Oryzias latipes: one gene and its partner. The protein of the gene in region 1 interacts with the protein of each later gene in a biochemical or structural test. Links are inferred from orthologs where the notes say so. Each region holds a gene or a part of one and is shown in the gene's direction. Other genes may lie near its edges. The genes, in order: araf and gna12.

Region 1 (9,987 bases):
ACATCATCAACACGTCACGGGCCAAAGCAGAGTCCCTGATTGGCTAACTCAATTTGTCTTTTTTGCCAAGGTTCAGATATTTAAAATGTGAAAACACTGCGCCGCAACGCCTGAAGTTCACTGGTGACAAAATGCGGCGCATGACGGTCAAAACGCGTCGCAGGACCTCTTGATTGTTTTTGTTAATTGACTTAACATTGAAACTGGACCGTTGACTGTATACGAGAACTGGACTGAGTGTGGCGTCAACCATTCCAACCAAATGAAGTCAATTCAGTCGACTTTTTTTTTTTCCAGCAATACTGCCGTCGCCATGTTAGAATCAGTCGACGTCAGTAAACAGTGATTGGTCCAAGTTGGTCTGAGTCAGGGTTTCTATGGCAACCTCTCTCACCAATCAGGAGGGGGCTTCTTGGAAGTCCACACCGCTACCACTGGGAGGCGTCCTCAGGAGAATCAGTCAAACATTTATACTTTCATTCAGACATCTGATTGGTCAGTTTATAACTTGCAATAACAAATTATATCATGAAAAAAATTAGGATTAGCAAGAATATGTAGGAGAGCAAGAATGGTTATTCTGACAAATAGAATGACTGAGTTATCGCTGTTCATTTCGCTATGTGATTTTGGCTTCTTTGATCCAGCGGGTACTTCCTGTTTGGAACGCCATGGGAGAGGGGACATTTAGTCCAGTAATATGGCCAATGAACTGGACATGTGCGAATAATGCTTGGTGTGAACGTAGCCTGTGATGCCCTTTGCCCCTACAGGTCTCCAGTATCCTCAAGTACCTGTTTCCAGTGCCAAAGGACGACAGCAGGCGAGTGATCACATTCGCCAACCAGGACGACTTCATCTCCTTCAGGTGGGTGTGGACCCGCCCCTCAGTCAGAGATGAGAATGCAGCATCTCTGGAAAACAACCCAGATCTTCTGTTTCTCCCTCAGACACCACACCTACAAGAAGACAGACCACAGGAATGTGGAGCTGACGGAGGTGGGACCCAGGTTTGAAATGAAACGTAAGTTTGGAGGGAGGAAAGTTCCCGCTGCGCTCGTGTGAGCGGCTTTAAAGTCCCTCTGTTTTTACCTTCAGTGTACATGATCAAACTGGGAACTCTGGAAAACGAGAACACGGCAGAGGTGGAGTGGCGTCAGCACGGCTTCACGCACACGGCGAAGAAAAGGAGGTTCCTCAGCGTGCAGTGAGAAGAAGTTCCAAGACCACGACGGACTCTTGAACAACGATGGCTTTATGCAGCAAAAAGGGTCTAACGGGACCTCGGTCACCATGGATGGACTATTTTATCTGTTGCTGTTTTTGTAATTAAAAAACCTTTCAGCTAAAATCCACAGGCTCTTGTTTTTTTATTTTCTTTTAAGCAGAATCAGCTTTAGTTTGACAAAACTTAAAACTCTAGGAGAAGCTTTTATGTGTCAGATCTTATTTATTTCATCTCAGTTTAATGTTTTATACTTCCAAAATAAAGCCTAAATTCAAATTTTTGTTTGCAGCGTAGTTGTATGACAGAAATAAAAATGCATTTGTATAATTTTTTAATTTATTTTTATTTCATTTTGTACTGTATTACATAATTCTATTTTGCCGTCTTGTTTTTCATCTTAAGGAAGATTTTGTTTAAAACTTGCTTCTAAATTGTCTCATTATACAATATATTTAGTTTTTAATCAAAGAGGGTCAGATTTGATGAAGTGAAAATGTGTGAGGGTCAACCATTTGACCAGGATTCTTTGAATTATTTTATGAACAATAAATGCAAATGGATATTTTATTGCAATGGGATACTTGTCAATTCAAACTAATGTTTAACAAAAATCACAATTTTTTGCTTGTCTTGTATGGTATCCCCTCTTTCTATTGACCAGCTACTCTTGAAATATCAGGCAGACACTGTTGTCTCATGTTTCGCTGAAAAAATCTGCCGGTTTCCACTTGTCCTGGAGGAAGTGGCCCTCACTGTCAACTTTGCTTTTTTATTTCCTGGTGGCATTTCAGAAATGAGCTAGAAAGTTTCACAGAGGGGTTGCACGACAGGTTAACAAAGGTTTAAAATATCAACCACAATCAAGAAATCATACACGGGTTCTAGAAAAGGCGGGGGGCCACATATTATTGATTTATGAAAGGAGCCTGCGGGCCGGTTCATATTTGAATGCGGGCTGCATTTGGCCCATGGGCCGCACTTTGGACATGCCTGATTGAAAGGGATTGTGTTTGGGAAAATGTGGGGTTGAAGTCGTGCTAAAACATACAATGTCTAACAACCTGGCAGTTTGAACCCTGGAGCAACCAATTGGTGCACAGTGCCAGTCCTGAGCTATTCATGTGCTGTGATAAATCTGGAAGGAAAAACTTGGGATGAAAGCAGAAAGTGCCTATTTATTCATAAAAATACAGATTAGAAAAAAATTGCTCTATAAATTCAATAAGATTGTATCTATGTCTCTAAAACTTAAAATGATTACACTTAAGGAATTTTAAGTATTAACAAGTTTGATCGCAATTATTTTTCTTAGATAAATGCCTGTGGGCCAGAGGGAGATTGAACTCGGGCTGAATTTAGCCCATGGGCCGGACTTTGGACACACCTGATCTAGAGCTATTTTCAAATCCGTTTCTGCATTTGGGAAAGGTTGAAGCCTTGCTATAACACACAATGAATATAACAGCCTGACAGTTGAACCCCTGAGCAAACAATTGGTAAACACAGATGAACCTACAAAGATGTACCTGCCTGCACAAGGAAACACTTTTGGGATAAAAGTGCAAAGTGACTGTTTTTCCCCTCATAAAAATCAGAATTAGAAATAAAATAAAAATTCATGGTAGGATTATATTTATGTCGCTAAAACTTGAAAACATGAGGCAATTTCAAGAATTAATTAAATTTATCGTTTTTCTATGTGTTTTTCATTGGTAAAAAAACTTTTTGAAAAAAAAACCCATCTCATGTTGCATAAGCAGATGTTGAAAATCTTGCGCGGGATTTGCACCCTCATTCTGTGCTGATGCTAACAATCACTCGTTTACGTGACAAGTCAGTTCGCAGCGCCCACCTCTCAACACCCGCAGGTGTCCTTGTCCAATCGGAGGACGCGGCTGCTGGAATCAGCCAATCAGGAGGCAGCGCCGCGGAGTTTTTCCGCTTTCCCGAACTTCTTGACAGACTTCAGATTGAGACAATTCAAGATGGCTGCTTCAGGTGAGACCGAACTTTTGGATGTGAACTGCTCCAAAACACCGTGAAGTGAGTCGGCCGGGTCTTCGCCGTGGCGCGGCGGCTTGGATGGGTGCGGGCCTGTCAGCTGAGCGAGTGTTGGTTACAGTAAGCGGCGCTAATGGGAGCTTCTGAACCGACTCCGCGGTTACACCCGCAGGTTAGCTAACATTAGCCGCCTAGCATCAGAGCGGCTCGCGGTGAAGTGTGTGCGGCAGCGGGATTATCTCCTTCCGCTCCTGGAGCTCTGCAGCTTTCAGAGCGGACACAGCAGAGTCCCCCACTCAGGTTAGATTGCTATAATGTCATAGAAGTTTCCAGGGCGTCACTTTTGACCTCCGCGAGACCCGTAACAAACTTATTTGGCTAGTTAGCTGAAGTGGTAACGGGCGCCTCGGCTTAAACATGGCCTCCCAACTGAAAGTGTGTGGCTGCTCAGAGGCTGCGCCGCTGCGGCCGAGGGGGAAACGTGAAGCGCCTGAGCGGCCGGGATGCGGCGGTACACGGTACCGTGGGTCTCTCCCAAAGGTTCTGACAGAAACCCAGCTGCGTCTTACCCGAGTTCGGCTCTGTCACTCAGACGGAGCCCTGTGCGCCTAAAAAACCCGAGTATATTCCCAGAGATTTTCTCTTGATTATGGATTCTGGTTGAACGAGTTCGGTTGGTTGATCCAAACCCACTTACATGTATATTAATATTATTGGTTTGCTTCATTTTTAGGCATTTATGTGGTTAAGGCAATATTTTCTATTTACTTCTGACACAAAGTAAACAAAACAAATGCATGTAACAAATCAGTTTAAAAAAGGTTTGGTTTCTTTATGTTAAAATAATCCACATTTTTTATTAGTTATCATAAAACCTTTTTCCTTTTTAAAACCACACCAATGAAAATGAAGATATTGGTGTTTCAGAAGAGTTTGTTGCATTTTCTTTCCTAACATTGTAGAACATATATTAAGAAAATTTAAGATTTTAATAACTTTTCTGAATATTACTTTATTCACATAATTGTGAATCAGGAGTAGACATAAAAAAGTTGGAAAAAGCTTTAAATCTGTCGTAGGAGTTAAAACTGCAAGTTCCCTGCTCCGCATCCACTTCTACACAAACAGACCCATGAACGTCTCCGTTTTTCTCGTCTGAGCCGGAATCTGGACCTAAACTGTACGACTGGATAGCTCCGATATTGCTCGCCATTTTTGTTGCACCGAAAATCCTAATTTGGGGGTATGGGGGGCTGTACGCCAGCGGGCGAGAGTTTTTTTTATTTTGGCTAAAAACGGCATAATCATGATTGAAAGACCACTGGGAACGCTTATACAAAATCAATCAGAAGGTGACTGTAGTGGGGCTTTAAATACATTTCTGCATGACTACAAAGCATTTTTTATTTCTATGAAGAAGCATTCAGACTTTAAAGTTTCATTAAATCACTGTGTACTCAAGGTTTGAACGTCCTGCACTCTTGTTACATTTTGTGTCTGTGCGTTTGCAGGTTCTGAGTGAAGGGCTTCTCTGGATCCCACCTGTGCATGCTGCAGCTCTCCTGAGGTTGCAGTTTGAGTGCTGCCCCCCCACCCCCACCCCCAGCTCCACCTGCCTCTCATCATGTCCTCCACCTCCTCTTCATACTCCTCCTCAGGGGAGACCAGTCCGGAGGATGTGCCTCGGGGCGGGGGTACCATCCGAGTCTACCTCCCCAACAAACAGAGGACAGTGGTGAGGCGACTGCGCATGCACTGGTTCTAATGTGTTTAAAAACGTATCTGTAGCACATCTATGAACATTCATTCATCCACGTGGTTCTGCAGCAGAAACGGTTCTAAAAAGAGTCAGTTTTTTCAAGTTGAAGACGTTTAGCCTCTGATCCAAGAGACTTGCCTAACTCTGAACTCCTTTTCTGTTGTCGCTTTTAACATGAAAAACTGCATTTTTCTCTGATAATAGATGTGTGAATGTTTACAGTAGAGGCTAGAAACTGAAGCTAAAGCACCAAAGAAAATTAGGCATGCCGAAGAAAGATGATGAATGCAAAAACCTGCAAAATTGGTTGGAAATATGGCTAAAATGTTGAATTCAATGTTGAATTAATCTGACAGATCTTTTTTTTTATGAATTTGTTCACTAAAAAATTGAAATGAGAGAAACGAGCCTAAAAAGGAAAACATGTTTTGATATTAAAAAACTATATAAATACTGAAAAAAACAAAACATATAATCCTAGTTACCAAGGTAAATAGCAATGTATTATTAATACATGTAAGGGATAATGCCTGACAAAGTGTCCACTATCAAAAATTATCTGATGTGAACTGTTGCGTCAGACGGTTAGTTATCAATTGATTGGTTTGTTTTTAATGTATCTAGGTATGAATATAATTTAAAAAATACTTCTTATGATCTATTTACCAGGTAAAAATCTGATCAAACTGTTCGTGTCTCGAAGCTCCTTCACAATTCATGCATAAAAACTAATTTTAACATAAGAAACAAACTTAAATGCTCACAACAAGCTGCTTTTAAAGGAAAGATTTCAATTAAAAGAAGCTGATGTTCTTTAAAGATTCTTAGTTTCAACCATTTCTCCAGCTTAAAGTTTGCTAAAGTTCTTTGCGCTGAAAGTTTTTCTGAGATATTTTTTACGTTTTCCCCAAAAATATTTATATTGATTCCCTTCACCCTGAGCCTGCTGATACCAGAACAACAGTCATATCTGACGCTATGATGATTTCAAGTGTTAAACAGACTAAAGAGCCAAGAGGATCTTCATTGTAGTTTAAAAACAGCTTCCACTTGTCTTAATAACACACCCAAGACTGATAAATTGTTCTGCTTTTAATATTTTTTTGTGCTCACAAGCTGCACAGCGGGCATCAGGTGTCTCAGACGATCCCGCCGCCACCATCCTTCATGCTCCACACGCCAAAGATCCATCTCATGTTCCGCTGTGTTGTCATATCAGTGTTTGTGTCACATCACAACAGCAAACACACATGTTTGTGCCATCAGGTTCTTCCTGTTCCCTTCTGCTGCTGAAAAACCTAACCTTTCCAAACAAAAATTCCCAGCATGCAAAGGGGGTTTTTTCCTCTCCCTCTGACATGAAAGCGTCACAAAGTTCAGTTTGATATCTGCAGCTTAAAGCGTCTTTGGAATTCCGATGATTTTCACCTTTTACCTCTTTTTTTCCCAAGTGCGGGGTTTAGCTATCTGTAGCTGTTGAGAGGAAAAGCCACTGAAAACATTTGACAGCAGGTTTGCAGAGATTATCATAAAGTAATCCCTAAGAAAGAGGGCGCTCTCTAATGAAGGAGCTGCCAGAGCCCCGCCCCCTCACAGCTACCTCCATCAGAAGGTTATTTTCTGTGGATACCTTCAGAATGACTGTCTAGCTGCAGCATCTGAATGTGAGGAGGATTGCAGGTACCTGGCCTTGAGAACTGGTCTGAAGAGCAGAGTAGTCAAAGATGATGACATTGAGATCTTCAGGAACATGGCTTATAGTCCCATCTTTGACTCTGGTCAGTAGCCTCTGTGGATGGAGGCTGGTGCTGAACCACTTTGACTCTGGTTTAGGAGTGCGTCAGAACACAGGGGCATATAAGGCTACATACACACCTGGCAGGGAGGCAAAGTTCAACGATTGTGACAGCTGAAGTCCTGGTCTGTTTGAGCCGTTGTGGGAATCTGCCCCATCTGCTTGTTTTGACCATCAGGTGTCTTTAAATGCCCACTCCAATGAAAATGGTCTTTTTTATGTTTTTAAAATGTTCTTGTGGCATTTTTCTGACGACGGACGCAATATAAGATCTATATATATAATAATATAATATAAGACATCTAAGATAGCACAAGGGTTAACCTTTAATCACCAGTGAAGATCACAAATCATTGAAGAAAAAAGGTTCAGCGCACTGTCTAGTGGGTCTAGATGACCCAAATCCCAAGTGCCTAAGATAGCACAAGGGTTACAAAAATTAGCCTTAATTTTGGATTTCTGAGAATTTCTTTATTCCAATCATTATGAATCAGGAGCAGATGAATAATGCCTTTGGAAAAAGATTGTAGCAGTAATTTATTGACAGACAAATGGATCCATGAACGTCTTTGTTTTCCTCGCCAGAGCTGGAATCTGGCTCTAAACTGTACGACTGGATAGCTATAAACAAATGGATGACGGGAAGTAGGGGCAGGCTTGTACTGCACCAACAGTCGCTCAATGCAGATGGGAATCGTTTAATGAACTCTTTAGAAAATGACAGTTTTTTTTTTAAAATTTAGGCTGGAAACGACATAATTACTATCAAAAGGCCAGTGGGAAGGCTTTTACAGTAGATCAAAAGATGATCAAAGGGAAACTTGAACTTTTCACCGCGGTGTGTGTCTGCAGGTCAACGTCCGCCAAGGTCAGACTGTGTACGAGAGTCTGGATAAAGCTCTCAAAGTGCGAGGCCTCAGCCAAGACTGCTGCGCCGTGTTCCGCCTCCTGGAAGGGTAAGCCCCCCTATCTGCTGTATGCCCCCCTCACATCCTGATTGAAAACCACAGCACACACAGCAAGACTAGTTTAGGTTAACATAAACTCATCAAGGTGATTTGGAACTGAAACGAGTAAAACATTTTTATGAAATGGACTCAACTGGATCTGTTTTGTTTTTAACCACTATATTTAGTTTTGTCTGCTTTAAAAACCTCCAGCTCACTTCAGTTTCATCGTTATAATTATTGTTTGAAAGCTCGTGCACAAAACTTTTTTCACCAAAAGTTCTTTATTTAAACCAAAGTTCTGATTTAGACACCCAGATGGTGGAATCCATTCAAACATGCAGGTTTCTAAAACTGTGTGGTACAGACTTTAGTGCAGACCTCTCTTTATAAACATCCATCTGTGGGTAAACGAATGTGTTTTTCCATCATCCAAGCTAATTTATTCATGAAGAGCCATATTCATGAGAAAGAGGAGATGAGTGGAGATAGAAGGTGGAGGGCGTCTCAAAGGGGAAGATGATCAGAAACAAAAAAGATGTATACTGATTTGATTTTTGTCAGTTGGCGGTTAGCACATGTCATGCATCAGCTGCCCCTGTTTCACAGCAGCTGTGCAGTTTATGCAGCAGTTGCATCGTTTTCACGGTAGTGTTGCATGTCATGCAGCATCTGCACAGGTTATGCTCTCGAGTCTCATCCACGTTTCAAATTTAGCAAGTCACAAGCTTTATCTTACAGGTATGCTCTGTTTTTAATTCTTAAGGCCTGTACAAAATAGTATTATACGGTAGCCGTTTATTAATTTAATCTTGATGGATCTAAACCATAATCATCAACCAAAACCTCATGTTGCAGCGATGACAAACTAAAATAAGTAATACTTTGTAATATTTGCTAATGGAAGTCACGTCCTCTGATAATAAGTGCACTTAAAGTTTAATTTTTACAGTTTCACCTGTGCAGAAACATCCAGTGCTCCACAAAGTGTCCTGGAGTCTAAGCTTCACTGACGATTGCTTTCTGCTGCTAGTTTGCACTCGACAATCTTAGTTAAATCCATCTGAGCCTCCGTCCAGCTGTGCAAAAACTCTTTACATCTCCACGTCTTCATGTTTCTCTTTTCCTCCTCTTCCTCGTTGCTCCAGTCGTAAGAGACTGACTGACTGGAACACAGACATCACTCCTTTGGTTGGAGAGGAGCTGCTAGTGGAGGTTCTGGACGACATTCCTCTCACCATGCACAACTTTGTGAGTGTCTGGAAGCGCACAGCATCCCATAAAAATCTTTGAACTGACTGAGGTTTTCTATGCATTTTTGTCTCAGTCTTCCTAGGGGACGTAATTAATGTCTTGATGGCTTTTTGTCTTCTTAGGTACGGAAAACGTTTTTCAAGCTGGCCTACTGTGATTTCTGCCACAAGTTTCTTTTTAATGGCTTCAGATGTCAGACATGTGGCTACAAGTTTCACCAGCACTGCAGCAGCAAGGTCCCCACCGTGTGTCTGGACATGGACACGGTGAGCAAGCGGTGAGTCGGACTTCCCTTCTTCTTCTTGATCACATGAAGCAACGAGAGCAGCAGATGCAGCAGACCAACACCGACAAGGAAACATCCACAACATGTCAAAATAAAACGATAAAGAAAAAGGCGAATGAACCCAAATAAAATCCAAATTTGAGGTTTGGCATCACAATCTTCATGTTTCATCCAAATGCTGATGTTTTCTGCTCAGAAACGGAAAGTCTTCAAGAACCAGTTTATTTTAAATATTAGAATATAGCACCATTTATTTTGCAACATTTTGCTTTGTTTTTTGATCAATTTTGTGCAAGAACTCACTGACCTGTTGACATATTTATTGTTGTGCAGATTGTGTGAAATACATGGGGAAGTCATCGTCAGTGTTTGTTTGTGTTTGTGTCATTTTGATGCATATCATGTTAGTAAATCTAGATTTCAGAACTTTTGATATTATTCCATCCTGCTCGTGCAGGTTTGTTCTGCATGGACATAGTTTCTACATTCCACTCCAGGTTTGAACAGCAGCCAAAGCAGAGTCTCCTCTTCTTTTCCTTGGATTTAGCTCAATCTGGGTCAGGGCTCCAGACTGCGAGCAATTGGTCGCATTTTGCGACCAAAATTTGAGAGTGTGCGACTGAATTTTACATCCAGTCGCACATGTGCGACCAGTAAATTTGCCTCCCCCACCATTCGTATTTTTTTATACATTAAACGTGGAAGGGGCACGTCAAT
Region 2 (9,527 bases), on another chromosome or scaffold:
ACAGATTTCTGATCTGATCCGCATAACGCGTTCCGCTGTACAGGAGACACGGCACGGACTGAGGAGATTGATTGACAAGGTCTCCAGCCAATCAGGACACAGAACAGGGTTGCGCTGTTTAAAAAAGGCAGCACAATCGCTCTAAAAGAATGAGCTAAACCGGGAAAGATGAACTGCGACGTAGAAAGGAAAGACTTAAGGCCCGTACACACCGGGACGAATATTCGCCAGGCGTTATTCGCCAGCGTTTTTCGCCACGTCTTTTGTGTTCACACCCAGGCGATTTTCGCTGACGATGAGCCGAGCGAACATGCAATTTCATTCCCTGACATTAGATGGCGCTTAATGTAAACAGAAATACTCCTGTACACAAGGTGGCGCTGCGCAACTTTACGATTCTTAAAGTCGCTTTTCACTCAGAAGAAGAGAGCAAGTATTTACGCGCTTGTCAGAATCAAACAAAGAAAACATGAATATTTCAAGCATCAGTAGCTCCAACTGGTACTTGGTAAGGGGATATTTAAGAATGTCCGTCATTATTTCTTCGCGGCAGTGTAGACGCTACTTGGCGTCTATCTTCTTCGCTGGTATGTGTGCTCAGAAAGGCAGTTTTGTGTTTGAGCGCCCCCAAGTTGTGTTTTACTGTAACTTCAGAAGCTCCAGACACGTGTGCAAAAGCGCAATTCTCATTGGTCGAATAGATTTCGACGCAACGCGTCGAAAAAAAAAACGAACCAGAGGCGTTTTTTTTTTTTGGACGCTTTGGCGCGTGGCGTTTTTTCGCGTCGGTGTGCACACTCTCATTGGTGCCCTTTGTTTAGTAACGAGGTGTTTCGCCGACGAAATTCGTCCCGGTGTTAACAGGCCTTTAGAGGGTTTCAGGTTGGAGCACAGACTGAGGAAGGAGGGAATAAAATGTCACGTCTTGATCGTGTGGCCCGATTAAAAAAAACAAAAAAAAACAAGGGTCTCTGATATTGTTCAGTGGGCCGGACCAAAGATGGAGGCGGGCCGGATCCAGCCCTCAGGCCGCAGTTTGCCCACCCCTGCTATAGACCATATTTTGTGAGTTAACAAATGTTTCGTTTTATCACCGGAGTGGAAATTGAAGTTGATGGAAAAAGGTTGAAGCAGCTTTTTGTAGCTCCGTTGGTTAGGTCTTGTAGGTGGAAAAATACGACATTTTATTATTAGAATATCAACAAGAACTTTCAAAGCTTAGACTGGTTTATAGTGGAGGATGAAACTGTGGCTCAAAACGGCTCATAATGTTCAACGAAAAACATTAACCTGACAAAAATTGATGAAAAAAAAACTTTGTGAAAATCAATCAATGGAAATGAAGCATTCCTGTTATTATAAAGCTCTTTAACTGAATCATTTAGAACAGCATTTTGTGATGACAGCCTCTTAAATGTAGCATTCGTTGAACTGTCTGTAAGCCTTTTCCTGCAGCTGTTAGCACAAAGTTTCCAGCACTGACACAAAAGACGTGAGTTTTAATGAAGCTTCATTTGATGGCGTGCAAACCCAGCCCCATATCCAGTCCAGTCTAGATGGAGTCCCCCTCCAGGCAAACTTTCAACACCTTTCCTCGTATAGAATGTCTCTTTGTTCCACATGATGCCTCTTGTACATCGACTTGTTACCTTCTGGGAGACGTCTGAGTCATTTCCAGTCAAGAGGGAACTTCCTGGTTGAACCCAAGTCAAATATTGTCAGAAGTGTGAATCATTTCAGTGTTGACCCTGTATAGTGTGAAGAGCAAGACGAGACGCATCTGACCCAACGATGCAGAGGACTGCACATTTTTTACCATTAAGATTGAAGTATTTTATTGAAATTAGACACTATGAGTCGATGTTTTAGAGTCTTTTTACATATAAACTTCTTTTAGAAAGTCTTGATGAAGGGGCTTTTTCTATTGATAGGTTAGTTCCTTATTAAAAGTGAGCAGCCTGAATTTCTGTTGATACCATGATTTCTGGGTCACAGTTTTGTTCCTGTGAGTATAAAGTGTGTTTTACAAAACAACACAAATTCACAAAATTATTTTTCAGTAAGCTTATATTAAGCCAGGTGTGAAGGAAAAAAACTATAAATAATAAATCCTTCCTAGATTTGTTACAACACATGTTTTTGACACTTTCAACCTAAACGGTTTATTTTAAGTATCACAATTTCCAAGAGACTTAATTTGGGGTTTTTCAAAACATTTCCTGTGAGTTGTTCCAATCAAAAAGTTTTCTATTTGTCAAACTGAGTTACCGAGTAATGATAATATTCCGATTTATTGATGTGTACCTTCTAAAAATCAGAAATGAATACATGCGACGACAAGAAAAGCAAAAACGTTAAGTCAAATTCTAAAGAAAAAAGGAAGGGCTTTACATTTGTCAGCACGAGACAGACTGGTTCATTTTTCTCTTCTTCAAGTTTGTTACAGCCTCAAAACCTAAAGTGGTGAAGTTTATGAATTTGGCAGGATTAGTCCTACCCGGAGGGTATATCTGACTCTCATAACCCTTGTGCCATCCTAGCCACTTTAACATTGGGAGTTGGGTCATCTAGACCCACCAGACAGTGCGCTGAACTTTTTTTCTTTAAAGATTTGTGACCTTCACTGGTGTCCATGGATTACATGAAATCTTTCCACCTTTATCCACCTTTGTCATGGTAGGGAGAACACGTCAATGGTCATCTTGACTCCATAGGATAGCACAAGGGTTAAGATCGGGTGTCCACATTTGGTTTATATTACCATAGTAGTTAATTCTGCTTAACTGGAGCCATGTCAAAGAGAATTAGAAAAGTCATATCGATCCATTTTGTTGGACTTTTTTATATCGCTTGTAGGAGGGGCTTGTGAAACCAGACTTTCATAGGTCGCTTTTATTTTGGAGAGTCCGCTGGAATTCTGTTTGAAAAAGCATCAAGCCAACAGCTGATCAGAAAAAGAGATTCAGGCTTTCACGTGGCTTTTTTTTCTTAATTGTTATGCTGACAGTAGGCACTGTACGATTGACCATCCCGCTCCGTATCCGGATTACTCCCACAGATCTCCACAGACCATTGGGGATGATGGTTGGACGGTAACAGTCGTGATCAGTTTTCCTTCAGTCTCAGTGGTGCATTTTATGAAAGAGCGGGATGTGAGTAGACTAGACTAGGAGTGCCTAGATGGCAGCTCAGAGCGGTGATAACAAATGTGACGTCTCTAGAAAGACCCACAAACATCACTCACTGTTTGGATGGAATGAAGTCTTGTGAGGACTCAAAGAAGCTCGGACTCTTTTGCAGCTTCAGGCAGTTTCGTTCTCTTATCTTCTCCTTCTGAAGTCGTTCCCTAAAGCTGAGGTCTCTGCTTTCCAGGGCAGGTGACATGCTGACTGCTCTGAAATGCTTTAACAGCTCCACTCTGGTCTAGAAGGTGGAGTTGGCTTTGACTTAAAACTGCAGTTAGAAGCTTGATGATAGGAACATGTTTTTTTTTGGCCCTCTCTCAACTTTTGGAATTATGAAATGGACAAGGAAGAGGCACAGGATCTGAGGCTTACACAAAGCTGTCTTTGTGGTATACTGAGGAAACTTTATTGTTCCCACAGTTGTGGCTCCATTTCAAATCAATGGTCATATGATGCCAACTGAATCCTTAATTGCTCCACAGATAAGACTTGGAGGAAACACACATACAAATACACACAGAAGTAATATGCGTGTTCTTCCAGGTCTTGATGGAGGACCGCAGGACCAACCGTCTTGTGGAAAGCATGAACATCTTTGAGACCATCGTTAACAACAAGCTCTTCCTGAACGTGTCCATCATCCTCTTCCTCAACAAAACAGACCTGCTGGTGGAAAAGATCCGAACGGTGGACATCCGGAAGAACTTTCCGGAGTTCAGAGGAGACCCGCGCAGGCTGGAGGACGTGCAGGTACACAGCTCTTTTGCTCCTCTCAGTGTGTGGATGGGCTGTTCCAGAATAAAGCCAGTCTGAAAACGCCTATGCCTCCGTGGTTGCATTTTGGTACAAAGTTAGAGTCGATGGAGGAGGAAAGCCATGTCTGAATAGTAACTATAACTATCACAGATAAAAAAGAAAGATTTAGAAAGAAAGAAATGATATTTACCACTTTAAACAATTTGACATTTAAAAGTATTTTTGTCAACTTCCTGATTAACTCCTAGAGGAATCAAAGCATAGACATCACTGTTGTTTAGGATCACTTAACAACAAATCCTGAAAATATTCTCCACAGTTTTTCCATCCTCAAAGCTTTGCTGACTACATTTCCAGTAGATCGATGACAAGCAGATATTAAATAGACACAGGAATACCTAAATAAAAATGTAACAATTAGGAAACATTCACAGTCCTCTCATCCAAACTGACAACATTGTTGTTTTATAAACGTTCACATTTTAGATCAACGTTCAGCAAACGCTTTCTGGTACGACTTTTCCACGCATGACGTCATTGATAAAAATGTTTTTGTATTATATTCCTAAATTCATATTCATTATTTTTATTTAAATTGTCAGTTTTTCAGAAGTCATTTCCATAAACTGAACTTTAGTCTCATTTTTGTCATCTCCAGGAAACACTTGATACTTTTACTTTGAAAAGGAGAACCTTCATCGACATTTTACTTTGAAGGTTTATTAGCATCCTGGGACACTAGTGTTTAGGATTTGTTCAAAAATTCAACATTATTCTGCATTTTAGGGCGATAATTACCTTGTCTGAAGTGTATTTTCACTACACTCTACTAGCTTTATAAAGATCGTGAATCAGCGATCTTGGACCTCGCAAATATTCATTCTCAAATTTTTAGGGACAGAATGCAAATATTGGAGTATTTGGATACTCATTACAGCCCCAGTAGCTCAGATCGTTATGTGCACCTCAGAGATCCCTGTGGGACGCGCTCTGACCACTCTTGTTAGCAGCACGTCTGGTCGGCCTGTAAAGGACTGATCTCCATCTCCAACTCGTCCTCTGCTCCTTCCAGGCGTTCCTGGTGCAGTCGTTCAGCCGCAAGAGGAGAAACCGGGGGAAACCACTGTTCCACCACTTCACCACAGCAGTGGACACGGAAAACATCCGCTTTGTCTTTCACGCCGTCAAAGACACCATCCTGCAGGAGAACCTCAAAGACATCATGCTGCAGTGACTGTCTCGCCATCCAAGACGGCTTCTCTGAGAGTAACTGTGAATTTAGGCTTTGAGGACTCCTGAAGCTCTGCTCACGCTGACACCACACAACCATGACTGTGCATGGGTGCAGCAGTCAGACTGAACCCCGGTCCCGTGGAGACTCAGCTTTTAACCTGTGGAAATGCGTCTGAGAGTCTGAATGTGTGTAGGGGGGTGGGAGTATCATCAGCGTGAGCGCGGAAAGTGTTTCTTCCTTTTTGTGTAAATAAAAATCCTGACAGCCGTGTCACTAAACGCAGCCAGACTGCAGCTCACGCTGCGCAGAGACAGAGCGCCAGGAGGAAGAGGCGGGGCAAAGGTTTCGGAGGCGAGCGCAGCAAAGTTTGGAAGTCCACGTGATGGAGGGGTGAGGGCGCGCACTGGTCATATGCCGTGTTGTGTGATAAGGTTGCACAAGTGCTCTTGTCAGGGCGGTTCGGCAGGGAAACGGGGGGGAGCGAGTTCTCCTGTGACCCCTGTCCTCTTCGTACGTCCGCTCTCATCTTCCCACCGTCGTTTAGAGGAGCAACAGCTGCGGAGAACAAGTCCTCCTCTCTGAGGGTCTCCCTGCGCTCCTGTCAAGCATAATAGACAGATTGTTCATCTGCCTCTCCAGCAGAAGCGGGAGACGCCTAAATGGGAGATCTTTGTTTAAGCACACACAGATCTTAGTTATGTATTACTTACGGGCTGTCTCCTTACCCCAATCCCTCCATTTCCTCGCAGCTGTACCATTGATCCACACCTAACTCCAGGCGAGAGCTTTCTGCTGCGCGGTGAGACGGCCGGCTGCCGTTTCTGTGCTGAACATGCAGGGGGAACAGCAGAAAGAGACGGAAGTGCCTCTGCAGGCGTCAGGCCTAAAGCTATGTTCACACTGGCCTCTGCAATGCATGTTCAAACGAGAGGGACCTGACTGCAGACAAGACGGCGCCTGACATCATTTGTCGGAAGGGGAATTTATACAACTTGTCTAAACAATACCCAAAAGTGTAAAAAAAAATTCTTAAGGCTTAACACAAGAAAACCCGCCAGTTGAAATTGTTGCAGTTTGGGAGTGCTTTCAGTTCTGGTGGAGGACTTCCGGTTCTGTACGTTGATGTCTGTAGCCAGGTCTTCTTGGTTCAAGCGGCCACTTCCAATAAAAGGTCTATGCAAACGTGCGTAACTGCACTTTTTGGGCTTTCACGTTTAAAACGCTTGCGTTCACCTCTCGCGATTCAAGTTACTATGACTGTTTACTGTTTCTATGTCCGTTGAACGCGCGTTGAAAGTTGAACCAGGTCAAACTTTGACCAATCAGGGACTCAGATTTGGTAGTGACATATGAATTACGTCCCTTTTCATTCACAGAAGTGCCAACTATTTAAAAAGTGATCATGGAAGACAAATGAATATCGGAATAGAGCTGTGAAAGAAAAAGCCTGGAGCCAGATTTGCACTGCTTTAGCATTTCGAACCAACTGAAGGTGGCAGACATGCGCTAGTAAACAGTAACAAAAGAAGAAGAAGAAGCCCCTCCCTGCTTGTCCAGTGTGAACATTATGGGCTAAGCATGCATTCAAGAACTTTGTGTGAACGTAGAAAGCAACAAAAACGCCATCCAAACACGTCCGACAGAAAAAAACACACCAATACTTCTTTAAATTAGCATAAAAAAGAGCTGGAGATGTTCAAATATTCAGCTGTCCTTTCCTCAGATCTGGCCTGAAGCCGCCAAAGGTCAGCTGAGGACACGGAGCAGTTTGAATGTGATCGCAGATTAGCGGCTCTTCTGAAGCACAGCTGTCAAATAGATCACACTTAGGAAAAGGAAAACGCGGATGGACGTGGGCACTTCCTCCGTTCGTTACCGGGGTTACACGACCGCCTCTGCGATCCGCTGCGACCATCTTGAGTGAATGAATTCAACTACTGTGTGACAAAAAGCACGACCTCTGGAGAGGCCTACTACACTTCAGCCATTTCCATAAAAGCTTTTCTCAGGTAGTTCTGACCAAAACATTTCCAAAGGAGTGTGAATATCAGTCCACACTAACAAATTATGGGAATTTGTTCTTGTTCCCATTTTTTATGCGTAGCCCCAATTCTGCTTCCTCTGGTTTATTATTTGAAAGGCAATCCATTTCTTTATAAACACAAACAACAAAACAAGCCTTTTAACCACTATTAACCGTTGTGCTATCTTAGATGACCCCACCCTTACATTGACGTGTTCTCCCTACCATGATAAAGGTGGAAAAATTTCATGTAATCCATGGACACCAGTGAAGATCACAAATCATTGAAGAAAAAAGGTTCAGAGCACTGTCTAGTGGGTCTAGATGACCCAACTCCCAATGTTAAAGTGCCTAGGATAGCACAAGGGTTAAAGGAAATTGCTAAAAATCTGCATTTTATCCACAAAAATAATTTTTCTGTGCAGAAATTTTTTTTTAAACCGGTTTGTTACTGAAATGTTTTGTTGTTTTATATTCATTTGGACTCAGAGGCTTTAACAGGTTGGAGGTGAAGTGCTCTTCCTGGTTTTAGGTTGAAAATCTGTCAGCAAAAACCAGACGGCAGACTTTTGTCACACCACGCTGCGTCCCATGGATTTCCTTTCAAAAACATGTCTCCGTGCTCGGCACACTCCTACTTCCTGCACATTTGAAGCTTGTAAATGAATGACACTGTAATGTTCACCCACAACTGTAAGTCTGTAACTGTTGCTGTAATGTTTGTTCTTAACTAACCTACCTTCCCCACTTCAAAAGTGTTTCTTTTTTTTTGTACTTTTTTTTTTTTTTCTTTTTAAGTGTGTCATTGCACTGGATGTGTGGGAGACGGGGTGGCAGGAAGGGAAAAGCGTCTGAGGAGGAAAAAAAGGCAATGAAACAAATAAACGGGGCCAAACAGGAAGAACCCGGAAGGTCGTTTGGTTTTTGTTTTACAGTGCCGACACGGCACGCTTCTTTGTTTTCATTTCATGTTTAAAGAAAGAAATGCTGAAAAGTGTGGAAAATTTTCACACAAACCCCCATAATGTCTATCATTAACCATCTGTTTACACTAGAGGCTTTGCTTCTGATTCCGGACATGGGACGAGTAATGTCGCCCCGATCCGCTGCAGAGGCGAGCTGTGGGCCCTCACCCCCCAAAATGTAATATGACGCTCATTAAGGAGGGCTATCAGAGCGCCGGGCCTGAGAGCCAAGCTGAAGTTTGGCCATATCTTCGTTACCCAGCAGAGCCTGACCTTTGCTTTGGCTTTTTAATCAGTGGAGCTCCGCCGTACAACAGCCTCCTGAGGCAGGGAGGGGTGCACGACCAGCACTTCTAGTTTTAGAAATCCCACTTCCACATAGATTTGCACCCAAAAAGATTTAAGGTCTATACCAGTCATGAGAAACGTCTGACAAACTGTGAGATGTGTGGCAAACACGCACAGAAAAACATGACTTTGTGAACATGTAGGCTCAGACGGGGAGGGACAGACAAAAGGAGGAAGAGTAAATACAAGAAAAAGTAAGAGCGTGGAGGGAGGAGGAGGAGGTTCTGTTTCCTCTGGAGTCCGCTTCCCTCCCCGAGCCTAAAATGGAGCGGCTGAAGCAGCGACATCCCTCCCTCCGCCTGCTTTCAGCTCCCAAACACACATCAGAGGGCAGCCAACCCGCCTCCCCAGCGCTGCTGTCCTGCAGAGGAAGAAAGCAGGAAGCTGGGGGGAAAAAAAACAATCCCTCCCCAGTGGTTTCTGAAACGCTGAAAAGCACAGCTTTCCTGAGGCGGGACATTTTGTTCTAATGTTACATTCGGTTTTATCTGCAGCCCATCAAACGCAGGTTTTCCTTTCAGAGCTTTTTGTTCCAAAATCACAACTTTTAGCTCCAGAAAAGACTTTTATGTTGATTGTAATCTCATGCAGCACAGTTTTTTTCTGATTTTTTTTTTCTTAAATTCTTTTTATATATATATATATATATATTATAGTGAAAAAGCAAAGCTGGAAAACTTCAAACTTTTTGCTGTCACTCTGAACCTTCAGGCATTAGGAAGCCTGCGCTTACAAACTGCACTGCAAAAACAGATCTTTTAGAAAGAAGTCAAAAATTCTTACCCCACAGGCAGATTTTTTGTAAATAAGCACAAAAAAAACTGCCAGTGAGGTAAGGATAATATTCTTACCAAGAATTTGTATTTTATAAAAGTAATTCTAGTCACTGAGACGTTTTCTCAAACTACGATTATTTTGATTAATGAAAAACTTCAAACTATTTTTTCATAAAACAAAGTCTTTTTACTTTCCTAAGATTGACTTTTTGCAGTGTGCATGTTTATTGCTGTCCCATT

Evidence for each region.
Region 2: the proteins of araf (region 1) and gna12 form a complex in vitro, tested with the Homo sapiens proteins (2 studies listed by BioGRID). The link is inferred for Oryzias latipes from reciprocal best matches to the Homo sapiens genes ARAF and GNA12.

Annotation. Positions count from the first base shown.
Region 1 is NC_019867.2:28,404,225-28,414,211, forward strand, and holds the start of araf (serine/threonine-protein kinase A-Raf), read left to right. Parts: upstream 1-3,110; 5' UTR 3,111-3,226; intron 3,227-3,263; exon of another isoform or gene 3,264-3,529; intron 3,530-4,740; 5' UTR 4,741-4,853; coding exon 4,854-4,964; intron 4,965-7,635; coding exon 7,636-7,739; intron 7,740-8,878; coding exon 8,879-8,981; intron 8,982-9,106; coding exon 9,107-9,261; intron 9,262-9,987. Other genes in the region: U3 small nucleolar ribonucleoprotein protein IMP4, read left to right, coding at 774-868, 951-1,024, 1,099-1,211. UniProt on the Homo sapiens protein: Involved in the transduction of mitogenic signals from the cell membrane to the nucleus. May also regulate the TOR signaling cascade. Phosphorylates PFKFB2.
Region 2 is NC_019859.2:21,406,134-21,415,660, reverse strand, and holds the end of gna12 (guanine nucleotide-binding protein subunit alpha-12), read left to right. Parts: intron 1-3,728; coding exon 3,729-3,935; intron 3,936-5,013; coding exon 5,014-5,175; 3' UTR 5,176-8,109; downstream 8,110-9,527. UniProt on the Homo sapiens protein: Guanine nucleotide-binding proteins (G proteins) are involved as modulators or transducers in various transmembrane signaling systems. Activates effector molecule RhoA by binding and activating RhoGEFs (ARHGEF12/LARG).